Tamandua tetradactyla: one gene and its partner. The protein of the gene in region 1 purifies or fractionates together with the protein of each later gene. This does not show direct contact. Links are inferred from orthologs where the notes say so. Each region holds a gene or a part of one and is shown on either strand. Other genes may lie near its edges.

The links.
Region 2: the proteins of DUSP9 (region 1) and PGRMC1 purify together in Homo sapiens (affinity purification with mass spectrometry; 3 studies listed by BioGRID). This does not show direct contact. The link is inferred for Tamandua tetradactyla from reciprocal best matches to the Homo sapiens genes DUSP9 and PGRMC1.

The regions. Positions count from the first base shown.
Region 1 is NC_135353.1:5,850,743-5,858,498, forward strand, and holds the start of DUSP9 (dual specificity protein phosphatase 9), read left to right. Parts: upstream 1-4,612; 5' UTR 4,613-4,618; coding exon 4,619-4,991; intron 4,992-6,217; coding exon 6,218-6,673; intron 6,674-6,910; coding exon 6,911-7,239; 3' UTR 7,240-7,756. UniProt on the Homo sapiens protein: Inactivates MAP kinases. Has a specificity for the ERK family.
Region 2 is NC_135353.1:47,765,962-47,773,964, forward strand, and holds the start of PGRMC1 (membrane-associated progesterone receptor component 1), read right to left. Parts: upstream 3,060-8,003; 5' UTR 2,945-3,059; coding exon 2,617-2,944; intron 1-2,616. UniProt on the Homo sapiens protein: Component of a progesterone-binding protein complex. Binds progesterone. Has many reported cellular functions (heme homeostasis, interaction with CYPs). Required for the maintenance of uterine histoarchitecture and normal female reproductive lifespan.

The DNA of each region.
Region 1 (7,756 bases):
CTGCAGGCCCCCCACCCCGAAGACAAGCCCCCACATCAACCCCCCCACCTCCTGCAGTCCATCCCGACACCGCACCCCAACGTCGGACACTCCCCCCGCAGGCAGGCACACGCCCCCGGCACACACCTCCGCTTCTTCGACACCCACTCACGCACCCCAACATGCCCGCACACCTGCCGATTGCATGTTCTCCACCACCTGCCCCGCCCCCATCGCAAATAGCCCCCAGTATCCCCCCCAGCCCCTCCCCGGGCCCCTCCCACCACTCCTCCCCGACACCTGGCACAGCAGCCCTAGCGTCTGTAGCATAGGGTGGCTTCTCTGCCAGCCTCCTCTAGCTCTCCTTTGGCAGCGACTCCCAGCCTGGGGACCCCCAGGTGCCTCTCTACACAGACCTTGAGACTTCCCAGCGACTGGCCCACCCTCTTCCCTAAAAGGACAGAAGGTATTTGGGACCCAAGGTACGGTACCTAGATGCGCGGGGGCGGGGCCCCCGGGGAAGGGGCTCCGCGAGGTGGCAGAGGGAAGCCGGCGCTGAAATGCACCAAAGGGGCGCCAGCTGCCCGACCCGCACGTAGTAGGTCGGTTGCGTGAGGGCTGGAGTGCGCGTACACCGTTCGTGTGCCCGTGTGCGTGTGGGCTGCGGGGAGGGCGGTGTGTGCACGTGTGCTGGTGCGTGCTGGGGGGTGGGGTGGGCAAGGCAAGCCACAAGAACGGCACTCTCCCGGGCTCCCTCGCTCTACAATTGGTTACATTCACTCCTGCCTTCTTTGTCAACGAGCATTTCATCCGCGAGCGCCGGGCGTGTGTCCGGCCGGGACTGGGGACTGGGGACCCGGGCCAGCCCGGGGCCGCCTTGGAGGAACTCCCAGTCCCGCCAGGAGCCAGACCGGGAAACCCAGAAAGCAGGCCCCGGCAGAAAGTGCATTTGGTGGAAAAGAGACTGGGTTTGGCAGGAGCGCTGTCGCTGGGAGTTGTGCTCCTGGCCATGTGACCCGGCCGCGACAGCCGAAATCCTGCCGCTTGGCCCCGGGGAGCGATGCATTTCGGGGGGTGGGGGGCGGCGCCGGTCTCCGGAGACTCCGGGGACTGGAGGGCGCACGCGGCGCGCGCGGAGCCTGCGGGTGGCGGCACCGCTGCGGCCTCCAGGGGGCGCTGGCCGGGCCGGGCGGAGACGGGGGTTCTCCCCGGTGGGCCTTGCCCGCGCCAGGACGCCGGGGAGGGCGGGGGCGGAGGGCGCAGCGCCCACCCTGCGGAGAGTGGCGAGCGCGCAGCCCGCAGCCTGGCTCCGCCCGCTGGAGAGGGCCTGGCGACGCCACCCCCACCCCCACCCCCAGAGCCCGCCCGGGGAGCGGCTGCGGGGCGGGGCCGGCGCCCAGAGCAGGCGCTGCAGGGGGCCCGATGGGGGGAGGGCCAGGCGAGGGTCGGGGGAGCGGGGCTTGGCCGCGCTGGGCCCTGCAGTGCGGAGGTGGCAACAGGTTCCCGTTTGTCCTGCTGCTGGCGCGGCGGGCGCTGCTGGCGCCGGGCACTGAGCGCTCAATTTCGAGATTGAATCCCCCCCACCCCACCCCGCTCCCGAGCGCTTTCTCCCGGGCTGCACGGTCCGAGGGCTCGCCAGCGCGGGTCTGGACCAAGGGGCGCGGGAGCCGCTCAGGAGGTGCTGGGAGACACGGGCCCCGGCACTGAGGGATGGGGTGCGGGGCTCTTGGAGCCTTGGCGTCCCTTTCCTTCGCCATCGCGGAGGTGGCTCCCTCTCCGGAGGGCACGCCTGGGCATTTCAGGAACTCCTTTTCCCCGCAAGTTGGGACCCTCTCTGCAAACACACTAAGTCCCATGGCTGGCCTGGCTGCTCCGTAGGTGTCTTCCAGCTCCGTGTACGTTCCAGCCTGTGCCCCCCCCACCCCACACTGCCCACAGCCTGTCTGAGCTCCAGTCCCACGCACCCAAGCTTGGCACATTGGAGACCCTCCTCGGTGACCCCCCTCGCCCACCCAGGTTCCAAGGCTGCCCGCCCACTCCGAGGTCCCGCACACAGCTGCAGCAGACCCTCCAGGATGGGCATCCTTGCCAGATGGCAGCGGTTGCCCACCTTTATCCCCCTGCTAGGATGAGAAGGTAGAAGGGGGCAGTGGGCCCGGCTGTGGCCCCTGTCCCTCCAAGTCTGTAGGCTCCCGGGAAAGGCAGCCTCAGGGAACTGGGTCAGTGGCTGGAGGCCCCTTGGGTGGTGGTGGTGGGGGTGGGGAACTGGGTTACCTAGAGGTGTCCTGGCTTTCTGTACCCTGCTTTCTTCTACCCAGCATTACCTCACAAGCATTTTCTCACCTTACCCTGAAGTTCATGACACCAGTCTCTTCGTGCACATAAGGGACTGGATTTAACTGCTCTGTTTACTCTTGATACAAATTGCCAAGTTAATTTCCAAAAGGGCTTTGCCCATGTATCATGCTACCAGCAATACAGCAGCATGCCAATTTCACAGCACCCTTGCTAGCACTGCATGTTCCCATTTTGAAAATATTTTACTGTTGTATCAGGTGGGAAGTGTTACCTTGTTCTTTGGTTTGGGTATTTTGTTTTGCTCTCTTTTGTTTTTCCTCCCTTGCCTGAGGTTGAACATTTCCCCCAAATACCTTTTAACCAGTTGCATTTCCCCCTTTAGGCAATAGCTTCTTGTTCCCTGCTGGTCTGTCAGGGTCTTAACCTGTTTGTTAACTCACCTGAGCTTTGTGTTTTGTGCTGCACATTTTGCTCCAACACTACTCTTTGCTTTTGGTAGATTTTCAGCCAAGAAGGGACACAGCCAGCTCACCGCTTTGGAAAGGTGCCCCAATCATGCTACCTGTCCCGCTGTCCTGGCCTTTATCCCATCCCTCTGCTAGCTCCCCGCGTCCTTGTCTATGGCTTATCTGTCCCAGGAAGCTGAGCGCCACATGAGCAAGGACCCTGTGAGTCCAAGTGTATCACCCTATGATGTGATGTGAGCACCATGGAGGCCACTGGGCTTGGCTCCACAAATGGATGCATTCTGGGGCAGGCTAGCGGTGACCTGGGCGAGAGCTGGTCCATTCCAGCCCTCGAGCAGTGCAGGGACGAGGGGGAGTACAGAGGAATCCAAGAGAAAACTTTAAGTAAAATCTACTTCCACCACCACCCCTTGATTTGATGGGAGCTGGGGAGTTCAAGGGAGGAAGCAGAGCAAGGAGCCTGGGGTGACTCCTAGGCTCCTGGCCTGGGCGAGAATGCTGGGTGACAAAGTGGAGGGCAGGGGGAGACAAGTAATGTGCTAAGAGCAGAGGGTGGAATGTTTGGAGCTGGGAGCTCAGAGCTCCTGGGTGCCCTGTTCTTGGGCCAGGCCTGTCCCCATGAAATCAGCCTGGGATACAGCTCTGAGCAGGAAGCTGGCAGTGGGTTTCTGGGCCAGCCCACCAGGCTGAAGCCAGGATGTCCAGGCAGGCGACAGAATGGCCAAGAGTCACCTAGCCAGTTGAGTTAGAGGCAGCCTCTGGGGCAGGGGCACAGGGCTCTCGTCCCCACCCCCTCCCCCTGCCTCGGAGGTGGGGAGGAAGGGGGCGGGGGGGGGGGGGGGCCCAGGCTGGCGCCGGCCTGAGGAGCTGCAGTCGGTCCCCTGCTGGGCCCCTGACCTGCCCTTGGCCCCTGCCCGGGGCCCGTCCCGCCTCGGTGGAAGCCCCGGCTCAGCGCGCCACTCGCGGGGCCCACCCGACTGCTTTCCCTGGAACCCGTTGGCTCGCCGGCCCCCCGGGCCCTCCCCTGTCCGCCCCCAGGCCCCGCCCCGGCCCGCCCCTCGGAAAGGCAACTCCACGTCCAAAGGAAGCGGCTTGCAGCAGGGAAGCTGGGTCCGGGTGCCAGGAAGCAGGGCTCTCTTCCACGTGCGCCGCCGCCGCTGCCGCCGTTCCGCCCCCTTCCCGGCGGTGGGATCTGGGGACTCCCTGCCCGGGGAAGGCGTCCCGTGCCCCGCTGTGGCCAGGACGTCCGCGCGCGGCCACCGGCTGCACGATCGCGCTCCAGGTCTCTCTCCTTTTGTTCTCTCCTCCCGGGGGAGGGGACCGGGACCGGGTCCGCTCCGCGAGGGGCCGCCGAGGTCGGTCACCTCGGCGCCACCTCTGAGCCCGGGCCCGCCCGGCCATGGGGGAGACCTCGGCCTTGAACTCTCCCCACGACCCCAGGCGCGTGGAGCCCAACTCAAACTTGGGGCGGGGGGTAGGGGGGGTGATAGCGGGCAGACGGAGGGAGACACTCAGGCAGGGGCTGTGAAGGGCGGTGGCCGTTGCCTGGGGGTGCCCCACGAGGGCCCGGGGAGGGACCTATGGCCCTTGAAGGGGCCGTTGGACGGCCAACCTGCCCTTTCCGGGGGTAGGGGGGCCCTCACGCTTCCCTTCCCGGGAGGTGGCCGCCTCGGGTGTCAGGCTTGGGGTGCCTCTCCCAGTGGAAGGGCGGGAGAAGGGGCGCAGGCAGTGGCAGGAGGTGGCCCGCGGGAGACGGGGTTGGCTTCCCGTCTTAGCACAGCGCCCCCGGAGCGCGCGGAGGACGCGGGCTCACGCCGGGGACTTGTCCTCTCTCCGCAGCTCCCGTGGCCCGACGTGGCAGGAACCGCGCGCCCATGGAGGGCCTGGGCCGCTCGTGCCTGTGGCTGCGCCGGGAGCTGTCGCCCCCGCGGCCCCGGCTGCTGCTCCTGGACTGCCGCAGCCGCGAGCTGTACGAGTCGGCGCGCATCGGCGGGGCGCTGAGCGTGGCGCTGCCCGCGCTGCTGCTGCGCCGCCTGCGGAGGGGGAGCCTGTCGGTGCGCGCGCTGCTGCCCGGGCCGCCGCTGCAGCCGCCGCCGCCCTCCCCGGTGCTCCTGTACGACCAGGGCGGGGGTCGGCGCCGGCGCGGGGAGGCCGAGGCCGAGACGGAGGAGTGGGAGGCCGAGTCGGTGCTGGGCACGCTGCTGCAGAAGCTGCGGGAGGAGGGGTACCTGGCCTACTACCTCCAGGGTAGGTGCGCGGCGGCGGCCGGCGGGGAGCTTGCCCTCCCTGGGGGGTGGGGGGGTGGAGCGGTCATAAGTGATATTGACCTTGGGTAGGTCCCACCTCATCTGGGCTCAAGGGGAGCTGAAGGTGCTGGGGGGCAAGGGGCCAGGAGAGGGGTGCTGAGCATAACCTTGGGCAAGTCCTTTCCCTTCTGGAGCCCTGATATCTGGATCTGGAATATGGGGAGAATTTGGGCCCACCCGTCCCAGCTCCACGGAATCTCAAGAACAAAGTGTGGGTGCAGTCGCCCTGCCTCCTCCCAGCTGCTGAGAAAGGGATGACAGGGAGACAGAGCCAGATGCCATCCCGCAGATGCTGTGAAGGCCGGAGCCCAAAGGGGCAGGGACCTGCCTCCCCCACTGCAGCCTGCTCCCACCCCAGTGCCCTGGCAGGGCTGGGGCTGGGGGGCAGGGGAGAAGAGGAGGCAGGGTGCTAGAGGCCTGTTGACTCCTTGCCGAGCCACCCACCCCCACTCCCACCAAGGCCCAGGGCCGTGCAGCCAGCTGTCCCTGCCTCTTTGCCTGTGAAGGAGTCAGAGGACTGTCATACCATGAGCCCTTCTAAAGGCACCAGAATATATAAATATAGAAGGCCTTAGATTTCCAGCCCCCAGCCAGGAGAAATAGTAGGTGTTCAGGTGGAATGTCACACTCTCTTCCAAGTCACCTTCTTTGAGGTCCCACTTCGTCCCTGAAGAGGCCCTGAGATGGCTGTTACCCAGCCCCTGTCCCCAGGATGCTTCTGCTTTTGATCTGTGGATCAGAAGTTGCCCACACAGAAAGCGCCATGAAACAGAGCTGAGTGCTTTCTCTTCTTTAACTGATGGCGGCTGTCCTCCTTGAGGCCACCAGTCCACCTAAACACCATTGAGCCCGCACGCCTGCCTGGGATCAGCTCCTGGGGCGCACGGGTCTGTTGGGGTGGGTCTGCCTGGCCGGCTTCGAGCGTCCCCCAGAGGCTGCAGCGGGCACTTGCCCTCCAAGACCGAGGCCCACGGTGTGGCGGAAAGGTGGCCCTGCACCTGCTGTGGGTCCGGGTACTTCTTACTGAGCTTTGGGGACACCTGCAAACGTTCCCAGGTGTCCAGGGTTGGCAGCGGGGTGGGGGCTGCTCCGGCTCAGCTGCTCGGCTGCGCAGAGGGCCAGGTCAGCAGGACCCTCCCCCTCTCCCTCCCCCCCACCCCCCCACAGGTGGCTTCAGCCGATTCCAGGCCGAGTGCCCTCACCTGTGTGAGACCAGCCTGAACGCCCGCGGGGGGCCCAGCACGGCCCTGGCGGCCGGCCCGGTGCCCGTGGTGGGGCTGGGCAGCCTGTGCCTCGGCCACGACTGCTCAGACACCGAGACCGAGGGTGACCGTGGCCCCATGAGCTGTGGTCTGGATTCGGAGGGCAGCACCCCCCCGCCAGCGGGCCTGCTGCCCACCTGCCCCGTCCAGATCCTGCCCAACCTGTATCTGGGCAGTGCCCGGGATTCGGCCAACTTGGAGAGTCTGGCCAAGCTGGGCATCCGCTACATCCTCAATGTCACCCCCAACCTCCCCAACCTCTTTGAGAAGAACGGCGACTTTCACTACAAGCAAATCCCCATCTCGGACCACTGGAGCCAGAACTTGTCCCAGTTCTTTCCAGAAGCCATTGCGTTCATCGGTGAGCGCGCCCTGCCCTGTCCCGCCCTGCCCCGGCCAGCCCAGGCTGCAGAGCAACGGGGGTGCGGGGGGTGGGAGTGGGGGGACATGCTGAGTCGCCCTCCCCAGAGGGAGCAGGTGGCAGCTTCCACGCGGGACACCCGGGCCCGACCCTGCGACAGTCCGCGCCCCCACCCCCCCCCGGGCCCTGGCCTCACGGTGGCCGTTGGCTGTCCCCCGCCCCCCACTCCCCACCCAGATGAGGCCTTGTCCCAGAACTGCGGGGTGCTCGTGCACTGCCTGGCCGGCGTCAGCCGCTCTGTCACTGTCACCGTGGCCTACCTCATGCAGAAGCTCCACCTGTCCCTCGGCGACGCCTACGACCTGGTCAAGAGGAAGAAGTCCAATGTGTCGCCCAACTTCAACTTCCTGGGCCAGCTGCTCGACTTCGAGCGCAGCCTGAGGCTGGAGGAGCGGCGCTCCCGGGAGCGGGGCAGCGGGGGTCAGGGGTCCGCCGCCTCCGAGGACCCCCCCTCCTTCTTCACCACCCCCACCAGCGATGGCGTCTTCCAGCCGGACCCCACATAGGGCCCCGAAGGCCCTCGGGGTGGGGGTGGGGGTGGAGGGCTGGGCGGCTGGGTCCCCACCCGTACCCACTGCCACCCCCACCCGCTGCTCCCACCCACCTCCTGTCTTGGTGGGGGGAGCTCATGGGAGGGGACCCAGCTATAAGTGGGGGGCGGGGGGGGGAGCACAATCCTTCTCATGGGGTGCTGGAAAGAAGCCGGAGCCGGAAGCCTGGAACACGCGAAGATTGTGCCTCCAGGGTAGTGAAGCGGGGTGGGGGGGGTAACTTGTCCCACCCACTTGCGACATCCACGGGAATCCTATTAAATGTGCCTACGGGCCAGGCTCGGTGGCCTGACCCGCCGCCCTTTCGGGTGGAACCTCGCTCCTGAACTTGCCTCTTCTGCGACTGTTACTTTTTTTCTTTGGGGGGTGGGGGGCCGCCCATTCCGAAGGACCCTGCCAGAAGACTGCCAGTCCCCGGGCCTCCCTGCTCCCTCGGCCCATTGGGGAAGGGTGCGTCCTCTCCAGCCACCTC
Region 2 (8,003 bases), about 42 Mb from region 1:
CAAGTAAATGAAAAGAATTCAGTGTACTTTAAATGATGTGTTATTTCCCCAAAGGCAGGTCGAGTTGCAAACTGACATTAAAAACTTTGTACGTAACCACTATGAGAAGTGTGAGAATGCCTCAGATTTCAACATGGCCTATTCACCTCAAACCTCAAATCTCAATCCACCAGGAAATTTTTACCAATTAGATAAATTTTATGACCAAACTTTTAAAGGCAATTAAGATTCCAAAGAAAAACGGTTGTTTTTAATCATTAGGTGCTGCCATTTCCACTAGAGAAGTTAAAAAAAAAAACTTCCATAGATTTTCCACAAACATACCTCTAGTGGGAATGGTAGCACTAAGTGCTTGAAAATAGGCAAACTGTATTGTTTTGGACCTCGCCATTTCAGAAATTAGTCACTGGATTGGAGGTGGGGGGTTTACCTTACAAATCTCACAGTATACTTAAAGAAAAGGGTATAAGCCTTTGGAGAATACATAATCTTCACAACATATATTCACTAGAGCACAGATTTGTGTCTGTTTTGTTCACTGATATATTCCCAGCACTTATGACAGTGCCTGGCATAAACTGGTAGGCACTCGAAGAATTTTTAGGAATCCTTTACAACACGAAGTATCGTTTCCATACAAAGTTCTCATATAATCACGGGCTCAGTGGATGACAGTGCAGGATGGAGAGACGTGGGAAACCTCAGCATGGACTATCCTTTTAATTTTACAGATGGAAAACTAAGGCCCATGGAGAACAAAGATTTCTAAGATGTCAGCCGGTCAGTGACTCAACCAAGTTGAGATCCACTGTTGCCTGTCTTCCAGTTTTGTGCCCTGTGCTCAGACCTATACTCCTCTCAATGACTTTGCTAACTCTTAATGTGATGATGCCCACGCTTTGCCTACTTTATGGTGTAGCTCAATAATAACAGGGTATTGACATGATTATGTTAATTGTTAATGCCTCTAGGTACACCATAAAGGTGACAAATAATATCGGTGTGATTTTCAAATTATTTTGACAGTTACATGCCTATGGAAATTAGGCATTTCTAAACTGCCCACTAGGAAAAACTAAGTGGGGGTGTTACTTAAGGATCTTAACACATTTGATTTTGATTAACTGGATTGGGAGAATAAGAAGGCAGAAGTGGGATGATGGGATTGCTGCCTTCTATACCCTTCCCTCTCTCCAGGCCAGTGCAGAAGAGAACGCTGTCCATGTGGACTCACCGAGTTGCCTGTTTTTAGGAGTCCATATTGGAGGAGCTAAAATCTCTTTCTCTTACGAATAGTCTATAAAGCAAGACTTTCCAAACCTGTCTGCTTCTCAAATTCGACTGGGAGGGTTTGTTACAATGCAGATTCCTGGACTTCACCCACAAAGACTCCTCTTCCACGGTTATGATGGTTAGGCCAGGAATCAGTATTTTTCCTCAAGTGCATCAGGTGACTCTGATGCGCAACTGGATTTAGAAAAGCCTCATCTCTAAGGAACCCTTCAAGCCTGCCCCCTCCAATGGCTTAGCAGTCATCTATTCCTGATGCGCAACTGGATTTAGAAAAGCCTCATCTCTAAGGAACCCTTCAAGCCTGCCCCCTCCAATGGCTTAGCAGTCATCTATTCCTCATTCCCCTTCTGGTTGGCTTCTGAAATCCAACCCCCCCCACCCCCGCCCCGCCCGCCCAAATCAGCAGCCTTCCTAGCTCCACCCCTTTTGTTTCTCAGGATCCTCCCACTTCTCCCTCCCTCCATTAAAAATTTTTTTTTTGGCTTCTAGTCCTTTCTCTCCTGCTTACACTAAATACTGCATTACCTTATCATCTTGCCACATGATCCTTGTCCACCACATTCAGCTTTTATTCTTCACTGAAATCAGTTCCCTTTCTCCAATGGAGCCTCCCTGCTCATCATTCAGCTTTTCCCCGTCTGCCACACACAGTACGCGCACACACATACGAGACACATGCCACACACATACCTGACACATGCAAGTCTGCACGCGCGTGCGCACACACACCCGACAAGCCACATACAGTGTACACACACATCGCTTGTGCACACACACACGCGTGCACGCACACACAACCCCCACCATCATACACAATGCTTCTTTCTACCTGCTGCTAATCCCATCTCCCAAACCCCCACATTCCACCATGGCTACTCCCGGCGTCATTGGCCTTCGCGTCTTCTCCAAGCCTGGACCTCCCTCTTCAGCCCTCCCCACCCCCCCTTCCATTTCTCCCTCGAGACACCCTCATTTCCTTTCTCGAGCCCGACACCACCCCCTCCCTTCCAAGAATTCCCAAACCATTACCTTTGGAAACTCCCCCAACACCCCGCGTCCCACCCACGCCCGGCCTAAGCTCCACAATCTTCCTCCATGCCTCCATCTCCGCGCGAGCGGCGCGGGACCGGGATATGCGCCCTCCACAGGCCCGCCGCCCTCCCGCCCGAATCTCTCAAGCCTCCTCTGCCTGCCGGGGGAGCCGCCCCACCTACGACCGCTCTGCTCTCCTCAAGGTTCGCCCTCCCCTTCGCCTCTCCTGGGCCCTGCCCCGTGCCAGGGTCCCCTTCTTTTGTTTTCTCGCCCCTCTGCCGGCCGCCGTACCGGGCCCATAGAACTTGCGGCCTTTGGTCACGTCGAACACCTTGCCGTTGATGGCCATGAGTATGCGCGAATCCTGGACGCCGTCGAAGCGCCGCAGCTCGGCAGGGGTGAAGTCGCGCCGCTTGAGGCGGGGCAGCCGGGGCGGCTCGTCGTCGTCGCTGTCGCCGCCGGCCGCCGGCTGGTCGCCGCGTACGATCTTGTAGAGCAGGAAGATGCAGAGGCCGAGCAGCAGCAGGTTGAGCGGCGACGTGAAGATCTCGTGCAGCAGCCCGCCGCTCTCCAGGTCGCTCGGGTCGGCGCCCGTAGCCGCCACATCCTCGGCAGCCATGATCTCTGGAGCAAAGGTTGGACTGGGCTAGGTAGGGCTCTGGAACTAGCCGCTTCCTTCTCCCTCTCAGCTAGCGAGTGGCGCGGGGCGCTAGGCGGCGAGCGACCACAAGCCAGGGGCGAGGGGCGGGGCCGGAGGCGGGGCTTCCCAGCCCCGCCTCTAGCGTGGCGGTCTTGGTGCCCTGCTGGGCTCAGTCCCGCTTATGCCGGCTGGGGGGGGCGGGGGGCCCTCGTTGCCTCCGGTCCTGCTCCTCACCCCCCACCCCACCCCCACCGCCACCCCACCCCACTCCCCCGCCACTGCCCAGGCCAGATCCTGCCTCTTTTTCCGCCGATCGCAGCCCGCCCTTCGGTTCTACCTGCGAGGCCCCTGCGCGGGCCTCTCATCAGCCTCTGCCAGCTTCTATAACAGCCACGCAGCGCGCATCCCTCCCCGGCACCCCCCTCCCCCCATTGCTCCTCGCAGACCCTCCCGCTGTGAGAGCCTTGGCTTGGTAAAGCTCCGTCTGAGGCCTCCTCCCCCACCTGATGCTAGCCAAACACCGACTCCATTTCTCTTGCTTGGGGTTTTTGCCGGCTCCATTACGAAGCTTCACATCACGTCCCGGCCACCCCCAGGGAACCGCAAAGCTCTCTTTAGGAGACAAGAAACTCATTCCTCGAGCTCCCTTTTTCCACTTTAGAGACCCGGGCTACCAATTTTCACCTTGGGATCCCCGCCCCGGTTCGTTCTCTTTGACGACCCTCCCCCAGATGTTGTGGGACGGACACCCCTGGGATGACTAAAGTGGGTGTACAGGCCCTTCTGACAACTCTCCCAATATCTGGGAGAAAGAATTAGATCCCCCGATTTACTGTGGGTCAGTACTTGGGAAAACGAAATCCTTTTGCAAACTCTGATTTGCTTAAGGCTCAGCACGCAATGTTCAGTTCAGAATAATGGCCAAAGTTTCTTTGTTTGGCAGCATTTTTCTGTTTGCAATCTGTCGAGCTACCCTTGGCGGTCACAATAACCCTGAGCTGGAGTACGGAGGAAGGCAGGAGTTAGAAAGGATCCTAGCTTTCCTCCCCCTCCCTTCTTAGGTACTTCATCCGGGCTTTTGATGTGCTAACTAACTGGCTGCACAGAAGTGTGTAAGAAGGGAGGGTTGACTCTACCATCCAGAGTCCTAATCTGGCACTCCCCTTTATTGTGGCCTGGGGAGGGAGGGAGGGGGAGGGGAGCGGAAGAAAGGATAGAGAGAGGGGAAAATAATTAAAACCAAGCCATGCACACATCTGCAGCCCAGAGCAGTACTTTTCCATCAAGGGTTCTGTTCGCTTGCGCATAATTTACTCCCCCACCCAACACGCAGGAGACTCGAGGAAAGAACTGGCTCCTTAAGTCAGAATTCTAAAACCTGACTGGGCCAAACATTACTGGCAAAAGCTGCTGCTATTCCCTGCTCTCCCCCTCATCTTCGTAAAATATTTTAAAGGCATATGAACAGCGACAACGATAACTTTAAATCGGGCCTACGCAGTTTTTTTCCTCAAAGAGTTAAATTTAGAATTAGCCGAAACGGCCTTTCTAGATTTTTTGTCAAACCTCTTCAATTTAATCATGGGGAAATTGAGGCTCAAACTGAGGGCACTCGGTGTTGGGTAGAATCCATTTATCTTTTCTTAAAAACGTGTATGGCCAAAACAATTTTAAAAAACAACAAACTTGTGAAAAATAGTTTCATTTGCAACTAACTTAACAGACAACGGGCTAATATTCTATAAGAGCTTATTTTAATTGGTAAGAAATCCATAAGATTTTGTCACTAAATGGGAAGCATTGGAACAAGTAGTTCACAAAAGAGATGATACTAATGGGGAATAACTCTATAAAAAATTTTGAGTCACGCTAGTAATAAAAGGAAAAAATCGAGATACCACTTTCACTTAGAGTAGAAAAATGAAAGAAAAAAAGTATAACATGCAAAGCTGGCAAGAGAGTGGTGAGACTCTCATCACTGCTTGGGGGAAGAAGAAATTGGTATAACCTTCTGCTAGCCATAAAAAAATGTTTCTATCCATTAATCCCACTTCCAGCAAGCTACTCTTCAACCCTGTAATTACACTTCTTGGAATTCATCCCGAGAAACTACTTACAAATGCAGGCAAAGATTTCATTGCTACCATGCTCATCAGAGAATAATTTTTAATATGGAAAACCTGGAAACAACCTAAATGTTCACTTTGACTGAAATGGCTAATTAATCAATCCACTTGAATTGTTATAAAACTATAAAGTGGCATATGGTGCAGCCATACAAATATTAGTATGACATGGGAAAATGTCCTAATCGAGAGAAACAGGATACAAACCAATATACTGTATGAACTCAATTATGTAAAAAAAAAAAAAATGCATAAAAGAAAGCTTGAAAGAAAACAAGCTAAAATGTTAACTGTTGTGAATTGTTAGTATTTTCTTTGTACTTTTCTACATTTTCCACAATGAGTACATGCCACTGTTAGCCTCAGGAAAAAATGGTTTATTATTTCTCTTCTGAAAAATGTAGAACAGTAATATGTGTTCTCTATAACAAACTTAAACAATACATAAGTATATAAAGTTAAAAAAAAAAAAAAAAGAAACTCATTTTCTCCCTCTTCCCATTCCAGCTCCCAACCACTATGAACAATTTGGTTTATATTTTCTTGAAGACTTATGCAACCCCCCACACATATGCCACAGATTTTGTTTTACAAAACTGGGAAAAACTTTAAATAATACATGATTTATTAGGTTTTTCCTAATACAGAGAGACACAAAGTAAAAAATAGAATCAGGCCTATTAGCTCTAGGCCTAGATAACATCTTTGCCATTTTCAAAAGGTTATATATGTTTAAGGCTGGAAAATTCAAACTATGAAAAGATACAGAAGGCAAATTGAAGCCCCACTATTAGCAGTGGGGAAAATGGTGGAGGGCTGGGGGTGGTTTATAATTTTCATTTAGCACAGTCCAGTGTCCTTTCCATTATACCTGTGTGTCCCCTTGAAGGGGTAATGGATTAAAGGGAGTCCTGCTTCAGGGTAGACAATTTATGTGATATAAAACTTCAGAAGTGATGCCATTTGAAAATATAAAATCAGATTTGATATGAAATGAAGTGGGTTGTTAACTAACATTGGAACCTTGAGTTTGTTGAAGGTTGAAGACACCGTTCTGGTCCATGTCAGAAACAATATGCAATGGAAATGCCTCATCTAGGGTGACAGTTCTCAGCAAGGGTGCTTCTGACTTAAAAATCTTTCCCCCAGAACAAGAGAGTTATATTATACATGCTCGTGGGCTTCAAATCAATTCCTAAAGTCTAAGTAATTGACCTGAGGACTACCTATTTTCTAAGATATGGGACGTATTTTAATGTCATCTCTTTTTTAATGTTCCCAAACTTCTTGCCTCCTTAAGTTATTTTCAAAAGCTTTTAAAGAAAAATAGAACAATTGGCTGATTAGCTTGAAAATGTATGGGAAATAATGCAACCTCACTAATAATCAAATAAATCCAAAGGAAAATAATAATGAAGTTCCATTTTTTTCATCATTCAAGTTACTGGCACCTTCTTTTTCATTTGATAATCAGTTTTTAAGAATGGGTAATACTTGTCTATTGGCAAGCATATAGCAAAATGAACACTCTGACACAATGTTGACAAGAGTGAACTTGCTAGACCACAAGGGATCTTTGTTTTGTTTCACTGATGTGTTTCAAACCTCTAGATGGTGTTTGGCACATAGTAGGCACTCAACATATATTTGCTGAATTAAATTAAATTAATTGGGTACAGGCTTCCTAGAAAGCTCTTTGGCAATATGTATAAGAGCCTTGAGTTATTTATAATCTATGAACAAGGAATTTAATTTCTAGAATTTTTTTCTAGAGAAGTATTCAGAGATGTGAAGAGAGATTAGAACAGAAAAATCACAAACCTTGACATATGATAGCAAGAAACCGGAAACCGGAGCGTCCAAAAATGCTCCACTCTAACTCAGAGTAAAAGCCAAAGTCCCTACAGAGGATCTACACCATCCCACTCAGCTCAGCCATTTCACCCCAATGTTTCTTTAGGACATTAGGGCCTCATTTACCACTTCCTACCCCTGTCACTCTATTCTGGCCACAGTGGCCTCTTTGTTGTCCCTCAAACAACTGAGGTCTCTGTACTTGTGAACCCCTTTGCCTGGTAATGCTCTTCCCCAGATATCTTCATGGATCATTCTCTTACCTCTTTGAAATTTGCAATATTCACCCCCCACTCCCCAATCCCCTTCTCTACTTTATTTTTCTCCATTGCATTTACTGCTTCCTAATATACAATATCATTTATTCATTGAAAAAAATTATCTCCTCCAACTTGAATATGTTACATGAGAACAGAGATTTGTCTCATTTCCTTACTATTGTGTCCCCTGCACTTAAGATAGTACCTGACATATAATAAGTGCTCAATAAATATTCATGCAATTGAACTGAATTGGATATGGTTACACATGCACAGAAAAAAAAATTGAAGGAAATACACCAGAAAGTTAATAGTGGTTATCTCTGGGTTTTGAGAACATGGGTGATTTTTTTTCGCTTCTTTTATAGAGAGCATAAATTACTTTTATTACTGTAAAAAGCAGTAACATGTTAAGAAATTTAAAGACTACAAAACAATATTCCAAAGTTACCAATGATATCTTGACTGATAGAGCACATTTTCAATTTCAGAGACTAGAGTAGGCAGCACTTAGTGCTAAGATTTTAAAGAGACTCAAAAGGGGCCTGCCCATCTACATCCATTTGACAAACTTTTTGTGTGCTCCTGCTCCATGCTACGCTCTCGGTTGGGTGCTAGCGATGCAAAGTCTCTGCTCCTCAAGAAAGGAGCTCTCATCTATCAAGGGCAGCAGTTAAAAGGTTATAGATGCCGTGGTCAAGGGCTGTACACGGTAAGGGAGAGGTGGGCAAAGGAGGAATGAGAGGTTTCCTACAAGAGGTGACATTTGAGCTGAATCTTAAAGATTGTTCACCAGGT